2 linked regions of the Saccharomyces cerevisiae S288C genome follow. The protein of the gene in region 1 interacts with the protein of each later gene in a biochemical or structural test. Each region holds a gene or a part of one and is shown on either strand. Other genes may lie near its edges.

What was found. The genes of interacting proteins can lie anywhere in the genome.
Region 2: of the proteins of KCC4 (region 1) and CMR3, one has a biochemical effect on the other in vitro, tested with the Saccharomyces cerevisiae proteins (one large-scale study listed by BioGRID).

Annotation. Positions count from the first base shown.
Region 1 is NC_001135.5:77,302-82,834, reverse strand, and holds KCC4 (serine/threonine protein kinase), read right to left. Parts: upstream 3,674-5,533; coding exon 560-3,673; downstream 1-559. Other genes in the region: amino acid transporter AGP1, read left to right, coding at 4,916-5,533. UniProt on the Saccharomyces cerevisiae protein: Involved in regulation of bud growth during cell cycle and in septin organization. Plays a role in cell wall synthesis.
Region 2 is NC_001148.4:584,132-587,557, reverse strand, and holds CMR3 (Cmr3p), read left to right. Parts: upstream 1-1,972; coding exon 1,973-2,926; downstream 2,927-3,426. Other genes in the region: YPR014C (uncharacterized protein), read left to right, coding at 40-369. UniProt on the Saccharomyces cerevisiae protein: Probable transcription factor involved in the regulation of the transcription of genes involved in cell rescue and defense, as well as cell cycle and DNA processing.

The DNA.
Region 1 (5,533 bases):
AATCCTTGCGTTTCAGCTTCCACTAATTTAGATGACTATTTCTCATCATTTGCGTCATCTTCTAACACCGTATATGATAATATACTAGTAATGTAAATACTAGTTAGTAGATGATAGTTGATTTCTATTCCAACAGTACTAAAGAGGAAATATTTTAGGGTTCCATTCCAACAATTTACGTGTTTTTTCAGAATAATTAATTTAAATTGCAGATTTTATTGGAACAGTTGAGTTGAGTTTTTATGATGTTTTTATACACCATTAGTTCATCTTTTTATTAAATAATTTTAATAATTTGTTATCCGATATAGTGTAACGGCTATCACATCACGCTTTCACCGTGGAGACCGGGGTTCGACTCCCCGTATCGGAGTTTTTTTTTTCTGCTATTACAATTAAAGATTTTTTCAACTATATCTGAGATTGTTGACCGGTCCAAATATTTAATAAATTACCATTTTATTTTTTTCAAAAAATAGTTACATATATACATTTATTAATTATATAACGGTGTTACATCGTATTGTCCATTTGGGGATCGATTATCCCTCCCTTTTTTTTATTTGTCCAAAACACCTTCTTTTTGTAAAATAATTTGGATTTCTGTAGCAAGCTTGGTCAGCGTTTTAGTAGATCCTGTTTTCTTATTGAATTTAATTAAACTTCTACCGTCTCCATTTGGTAAAACCATTATTTCAAAAAGCGTAGATCGTAAAAATAAAATACTGTCATTCACCAATTTTCCTGTTATGATCATATTAGTGATGTTAAACACCAGGTTTTTCAACCCGTATTGCTTCCAGCCTTCTAGTAGTTTATGTAGGCCCTCGTATAGTCTCTTTTCAGGTATTTTGGCATGTATTTCAAGTTCTAAGATTTTACCTTTTGAGAATTTTTTCAAGAGTACGCTGTTAGGTGGCTTTTTTACTGTAGTAGGGGCATTCACTGTGTCGTTATCTTTCTTGTCATTATCTTCCTTCAAGTCATCGTCTGACAGGGAAGCAGCGATTTTCTCACTCTCAGTCCCTTTTTCCGCCCCATCCTCTATGTTTTCTCCGACGCTGCTGTTATTACTTGTAAGGCTCGGTAAGGTTACCTTAGAAGGCTCTCTTTGGTATAGGCCCAACCCACTGGCGTTTTTTCCTTGGAAAGAACTCAAAGACGGAAGTTTCACTACCAGTGTGGGCTCTGCGCTTTTTGATATTGGAGATTGGTTTGGATTTTTATCCTTCATGTCGTATTCCTGTGATATGCCAACGCCTTGAGGAAAGTCGCTCAATATATTATCATTATTCACATTATCACCATCCTTACTATCATCCTCATCATATTGTATATTCCTTGAATCAGTGATACTCTCGGCTATTTCGGGATCTTCGCTCCTACTTTCGTTATCAGTGCTTCCTTGTGGAGGCAAATCAGGATCTTCCTTTATTAAAAATTCGTTTAAGTCTTTGATTGAATCCTTCGCATACAAAGATAAGACTGAGCGCCGATTATTAGCAGTAGTAAAGTGTTTTGATTTCCTCGTGAAATGTGGGACTTCCACATCGGATATCCTACGAGGTTCCATTCGATCATTATATATTAGTGGTGTGGTTGAAACTATGGGAGACTCTTCGATAGGTGCCAGTTCACTTTTCCCTGGCGATAGTCCCCCTCTAACATTTAGTAGCGATCCTAAAAATTTGGATCTGCGTATCGTTTCTATTATTTTCTTTTCAGTATCCTGCAGCAGAGCTGTTTTTTCTTTTAGGTTGTTAGGAAGTGTCTCAGTAACAGGCGTTAATCCGGGATCCAGTCTCGAAATAGGCCTAGTATATGACGAAAGTTGATAACGATTCGTTAGTAAGGTGTCTATATCTTGCAATAGTTCTTGTTGCGAAAATTCGTAATTTATCAACGGGGACGACACTTTGTCATTTATTTTTTTCAGCTCTTTCATTCCATCAGAAACTTCGGATCCAAACTCGTCCTCATTAATCTTCTGTGCATTCACTGATTGCCTTTTTGCTTCCTGAACTTTTCTTTGAAGTTCAGCCTTTTCTCTTTTCGCCAATTCAAATTTCTCAGGCTCAAATATTTCATCAATCAGTGTAGCGAAGTTGGAACTTGTTCTCTTTGCATCCTTTTCAATGTACTCCCAATCATCATCATCTATTAGGTTAGTAAAGTTTGATAATGATTTTGATGTTAGTGAGCTTCTTTTTGTATTAGGCATATAAGATAATCTTTTGCTTGACCGTTTTTTTGAGTTCCTCTTGTGAGGATTCGGGACACCACTTGGCGTTGCTTGGGTATTTGCAGACGCTACGTTAATATGTGTAATTCTTTTACTACTTCTCAAAGGTATTGGAGAACTATCGGTAGGATTCGAGGACAGTAAAAAGGACGATCTCTTCCTGCTAGAAGAGAATTCCCTGGAATGCCTCTTGGATGTACGTCTGCGTGGCGTAGATTGTATGCTTCGGTTGTTCAATAATAATGATGACGATGACGAAAGTGTGCTAGATCTTTTATTTTTTTTGGTTTTCTTTATCTTATTGCGGTTCTTCTTATTCGATCCCCTTACAGAGTCCAGTTTGAAACGGTATAGTAGCGCATATAGAATTTTTTCTTTGTTGGTTCCATTCTCTTTCAGTTTAGATACGATGTCATCGGCGTGTCTACCATGCCAAAGTACCACCAAGTTTTGTAGGATTGAATCATCGATAGAGGCGCTAGTATGGTTGTTCGAGTCAGCCAGTGGATATAGATAGGTATTTTCACGAGGTAAATCTTTGATACTTTTGGAATCCTTAATGGTTTGATATTTTTTTAGCAGTGGATGACTAAGGATGTCTCTGATTTTTATTCTTTGCCTGGGATCTACAACGAGAATCTTGCCGATTAAATCTTGTGCATCTCTGGAAATTTCGGTGTCATTGGGCATTTCAAACTGGCCCTTTTGGACTTTCAATAACAAATCCCTAACATTACCGTTTTCTTCATCGAAGGGTAGTCTACCCGTTAAAAGGGCAAAGAGGATTACACCGCAAGACCAAACGTCGCTGGCAAATCCTTCATAGGGCAGACCTGATACGATCTCAGGAGCGGCATAATGAGGAGACCCACAAGAAGTTTCTAGCAGGTCGGCGTCTGTCTGTAAAGCTGCCATACCAAAATCCGCAATTTTGATATTATAGAAACTATCGAGCAAAAGATTTTCTGGCTTTAAATCCCGATGTACTATTCCTAGCGCATGGCAGTATGAAATGCCTATAATTATCTGTCTGAAGCAATTGATGGCCTCACGCTCGGGCAAGGGACCGTGGTCCACAAGCAAGTTGAACAGTTCTCCCTTTTCGGCGTATTCCAGGATAAGGTACAGGTTATTGTTGGTTTCCCAAACGTCGTAAAGACTCAGAACGTTTGGGTGGCTCAAAAGTTTCATAATAACAATCTCACGCTCGATGTTGTATGGCAGCACTGAATCGTCGTTACTGTGGTTTCCGTTGTTGTTGAAAATGGACTTTGAGATTACTTTGACGGCTGTTCTATGGCCCGTGCGCTCATGTTGCGCAAGTTGGACCTTGCCGGTGCTACCAAAGCCCAGTGTTTCACCAAGCTTCCATGGGCCTATAGTACTCGATGGTTTAGCAGCAGAATGGGTCTCGGTATTCGCCACAGTCATACTGCAGTAGTTCTGGTAATTTACGTCAGCACTATTATCAAGCCTATACACGTTTATTGCACACTCTATTATGCTATTCTACGCTGTTGTATCCAAATTTACATCTTCTTTTTTAGTTTTCATGTAGTTTTCAAGAGAGCCCTTTTACTAAGACTGCGTTACGCGTTTTCTTGCACAGCACGCGAAAAAAAGAACGAGATGTTTTCCTTTTAAGGAAAACATATTAGCATAAATCGTCATTGCTGAAAGAGCGCCTTTACCTCAACCTACCATGGCAAACATAACAGAAAACATAAAAAAATTATCCTAGAGCCCAATGTTCCATGAAAAGAGCTGTGGCAAGGACAGAAACAAAAAAAAAATCAAGAACTCAACATTACCTATATAATTTTTGTTTTCTCCCATTTTCAAAGTCATTTGTTTTCCATTTTGCAAAGCAATTATTATATCAATAAGCCTTTTGATGACTTTACCTAGCACTCTTTCAAATAGAATCTTCTTACGAAGGTGTGCATTCTCCCTTTTATACCTCGGCGGCTTCACTCGGCGGCTAACCCCTTATTTCCTCATTTCCTCGGCGGCTAAAAAGGGACTTTGGAGAAATCTTGCATCCGTGCCTCCCACGGCATTTTTTTTTGGTTTCTTTTTTTCCTTGACCGGCATAATAGAAGAAAAAAAAAAGCGCGCCGTTCTTCAGTGCCGCTTGAGGGTGCCGTCTAAGCGGCACTGATCTGCTGCAAAAAGCTGCAACTTTGCCGTTGATGGCACTCCCAGTGGCACCATCGCACTAAATAACGGTCTCATCGAGTCATAGATAAGCAGGTTGCAGTATCCGGCCAACTTTCAACTCCCCCACGTCCAGCGGATTGCTGCTCCTTAGTAGTCCACAGTTCTTAAGTTGCGCTGCGAGGCTCTTTTTTTAGTGCCTTCTAGCCATTTCTTCCAGCTTGGCAGTGGTTATCTCTTTCACTGAACCGCAAATCAATCCTGATAAGACGGCTAAGATGCATAGGATAGGTCGGCTATACGTGTGTCTTGCGCTATCTTCCCCTCGTCCGCTAACAAGACTCATATCCTTCGTGATTAGTTTCTTTTTGTTATTTTCCTCGTAATACTCATTTGTTTTACATACATATATAAGTGCTTTGTCTTTGATGGTCTGCCCACAACAATGTAGAACAAGTTTATTATGTAATCTTTATAGAAGAAGCACGCTAATATAGACAAAGATAGCTTCGCACAATGTCGTCGTCGAAGTCTCTATACGAACTGAAAGACTTGAAAAATAGCTCCACAGAAATACATGCCACGGGGCAGGATAATGAAATTGAATATTTCGAAACAGGCTCCAATGACCGTCCATCCTCACAACCTCATTTAGGTTACGAACAGCATAACACTTCTGCCGTGCGTAGGTTTTTCGACTCCTTTAAAAGAGCGGATCAGGGTCCACAGGATGAAGTAGAAGCAACACAAATGAACGATCTTACGTCGGCTATCTCACCTTCTTCTAGACAGGCTCAAGAACTAGAAAAAAATGAAAGTTCGGACAACATAGGCGCTAATACAGGTCATAAGTCGGACTCGCTGAAGAAAACCATTCAGCCTAGACATGTTCTGATGATTGCGTTGGGTACGGGTATCGGTACTGGGTTATTGGTCGGTAACGGTACCGCGTTGGTTCATGCGGGTCCAGCTGGACTACTTATTGGTTACGCTATTATGGGTTCTATCTTGTACTGTATTATTCAAGCATGTGGTGAAATGGCGCTAGTGTATAGTAACTTGACTGGTGGCTACAATGCATACCCCAGTTTCCTTGTGGATGATGGTTTTGGGTTTGCAGTCGCTTGGGTTTAT
Region 2 (3,426 bases), on another chromosome or scaffold:
TCGCCCAAAAAAATAGCCAATAAAGCGGCAACTTTCTGTATGTCTTGCATTTTTTCCGCTGACTTGGGAGTAGAGTACAGCTGCGCGGAGTCGCGTATTACAAATCTTGTACTTTGCATTCTGTGCATACGTGAGGAAAAAGCAGCACCTGTTGTGAAAAAAGATAAATTTCTTTTTTTCATTTTTCTATCCTCAAAGGAAAATCTTTTCTGCGAAATTTCTAGCCGCTCTTCAGTTTCCGAAGTAAAGTCGCTGAGGGCGAAAAACAACTTTATTTGCCCACACGCTGTTATAGGCTTCCAGGGAGCAAAAGCGCAATTGGGAATAAGGTTTCCTCAATTGAATGGTTTGCTTCGCCTACAGCATTAACCAGAAGGTAATTTGATCTCTTGTATGTCCGCTAACAGATCTTGTCCATTAATTGTTTATTTTCTTCAGGTAGGCTGAGCCCACTTTGTAGTAGCTCCCTACCATTACTTTTGGCCTTGTAGTTATTGGCTTTGATTTTTTCTTTCTATGACAATCCCGTTGAGCAACCTTGCGAAGGGCTCTTTTTGAAAAAAAGGCGTGGGCAAGATCTCTGTATCCCTTTCTCGGTTTTTTCTTCCCATTCAACAGTAATTGAGTGTCGCTATTTTGACTTACCTCAGTGCCTATTATTAGCATAAGAAATGACCCACATAGTCTGAACTCTAAATAAACCCGAATTAGGAATCAAGTACATTTCATATCCGCTAGGTTTGACAATCCTCCGTAGATAACCTTAATGATACAATGGAAAGGTTATTTTTTATTATTGTCATAGAAGTTGTTACGTGAGCAATATAACACGACGTGAATAGTACGCATACATCTTGTTGTATCGGAAACTTAAAATGCTCATAGATTTTTTGCAGCTTATATTGGTTCTTGTCTCCGTAGGAAACAACGTAATGTAGCCGATAATTTTTTTTTTTTTCGCTCGTAGGCTCTTCAGTAGATACTACTACATAATCACTGTTGTACGCACCTACTATTCTTCCAGGTAACAGTACTACAAAGGGTCTGAGACTGTGCAGTAAACCGATACGCTACAAAATTTCCTTTTCAGCTTTTGCCTGTGATGCATAGCCGCAATGTCAGAGCAAATGGAAATGAAAAGGAGGGCCTTCAAGATTGAAAAAAAGCCCGATTGGAAAATCTTCCGACACGAGGTGCAGTCAAGTACTCATAAACGATACATGTGAAAATCAATCCATATACATCGCGTACGCTCCGTACCTAAAAGTATATCTGGGTTTTGCAGCAATCTTGAGAACAATCAGGTGAGAGATGCCGTTTCTCGGGGTTAAAGAATAAAATGACGGCGATCCCTCTTCTCAGGATCGGGACTATCTCATATAGGAAATATCCTTACGGGAGCATTCCACCTTGAGCTACGAGTGATTGCCATTTACGGTGGGAAATAAGGTTTTCAGTGGATACTGGTTTTGAGGGCAGATCAAGACGATCTGTTTTTTAACTTCCGCTTTAATTCTGCGTATTATTCTGTACAAGAAACTCAAACAACAACAAAAAACAAGATAAAGAATGATGCATCAGGTTCCCGACTTATGTCCCTAAAGTTTCATAAGTAAGAAACCCGCGCGAGAACGTCATTTGAACTACCTTACAGATCTGCAGGTGGCCCGGAAAGGGCAGTCGTGTGCCTTCATCATTATTGTTGTATTCTCTGTGCCTTCTTTTTTTCCTTACTTACTATTTTGCTATATATGTGACTACTACATGTTGATGTTTCAAAATACCTCTTTTATATGCCTGTCAGGGTTTGACAAGTTGAACGAAAGATACAATTGTTAGCTTTTTATTGTTCTATGGCTTCACAATAATTCCTCAAACATTAGTATACTTTTAGTTTTGAGCTTCTTAGTTATAACACAAGTTCATCACCTACCTTCGAAAAATAGCAGTAAACGCCACTAAAGTAAATTACATGAATTTTTCCCTTTCAAAGCAAAGTTCAGAAAAACAATCATCATATACAGACAAGTCAAGATCTCCTAATATAGGAATGTGTACAGTCAATTATAAATCGAACCTCCCCCTTCAAGTGTCCGCAGTTGATCAGCTGAGCACTGGTAAGGGGACTCAATTTTATGGCCACAATAGCTACAAAAATGAACGGGAATGTTATAATAGTACGAAAATAAACTTACCACCAATTTCATCCCTTTTGCCTAATTTTGAAAATAATACACCACCTAACGTAGATTCAAGGGTTCAATTCCCTCCACAGCAAGTTTATCAAAGCATGAATGTTGTACCCATTGTTAATGAGATCTACACCCCAATTTCCATGAACGCAACATCTGATCAATATCCTATCTACTATACGGAAAGTCAGCAACCAATACCACATAGCCAGTCTCCTCATTTGACCTCCTCTGCTCCCTTGATGATGCCAGTCATGGTCCCAACAGTATATAAACCATTGACACCATACGACAAAGAACCAATAACAATTGCCTCCGAACCTAACTTCACTGCAATATCAATGGCGAGTCACCCAAACGCTGCCTTAGAGCTATGCCACGATAGGCCAAAATCAGTCCCACCTGGGTATGGCGTACTTCCAACCATGCAGGAAGCCAGTAACGGCAGAACAAAAAGCGAACCTGGTGCCGTGTTGAACGGTTCAGCAACATTTTCTGATTGGAAAACTGACACCCGAATATCATCCACAAAGCTGAGAAAGCAGTGCCCAGTATGTGGAAAAATTTGTTCGAGGCCCTCAACGCTGAAGACACATTACTTAATTCATACGGGAGATACTCCTTTCAAATGTACTTGGGAGGGTTGCACAAAATCCTTCAATGTGAAAAGCAATATGCTGAGACATTTGAAAAGCCATGAAAGGAAAAGAAACAAAGTCTTAAACACTACATAGAAACAATAGGAACGGAAAGCTTTATTGCAATGGAATTTTTAGAACTCATATTCAAAGGTAAGGCAAAACTATGTATAGACTCTAATAGAATGTTTTACGGACTTTAGAAGCAAGGGAATAAAACTAATTAAGCGCAAGTCACCTTCTTTGTTAGTGTTCTTCCCAGTTTTATATAACGGGAGTGCGTCTTCAAGTTTACTTGGACGCACAAAGACGTTTTTATGTTTATGTATTATTTCGTAAATATATGAGAGGCAAAGAAGATGGATGATGATATAATATGCAAGGGAAAATGCGTAGTTGAGGTATTGGGAAAGTTCCATGTGATCACTTGATGCAAGCCGTGCATTATTTATCAGCAGATCTATTTTCACTTTTCAATTTTTTTCAGGTTGACCCTTCAATATTTTTTTACCTCTTTTTCTAGATATATTTGCAGGGTACTCTCGATGTCCGCAGTTCGTCAAAATGATTATGATTGCCAGTAAGGCCAAGTGAAT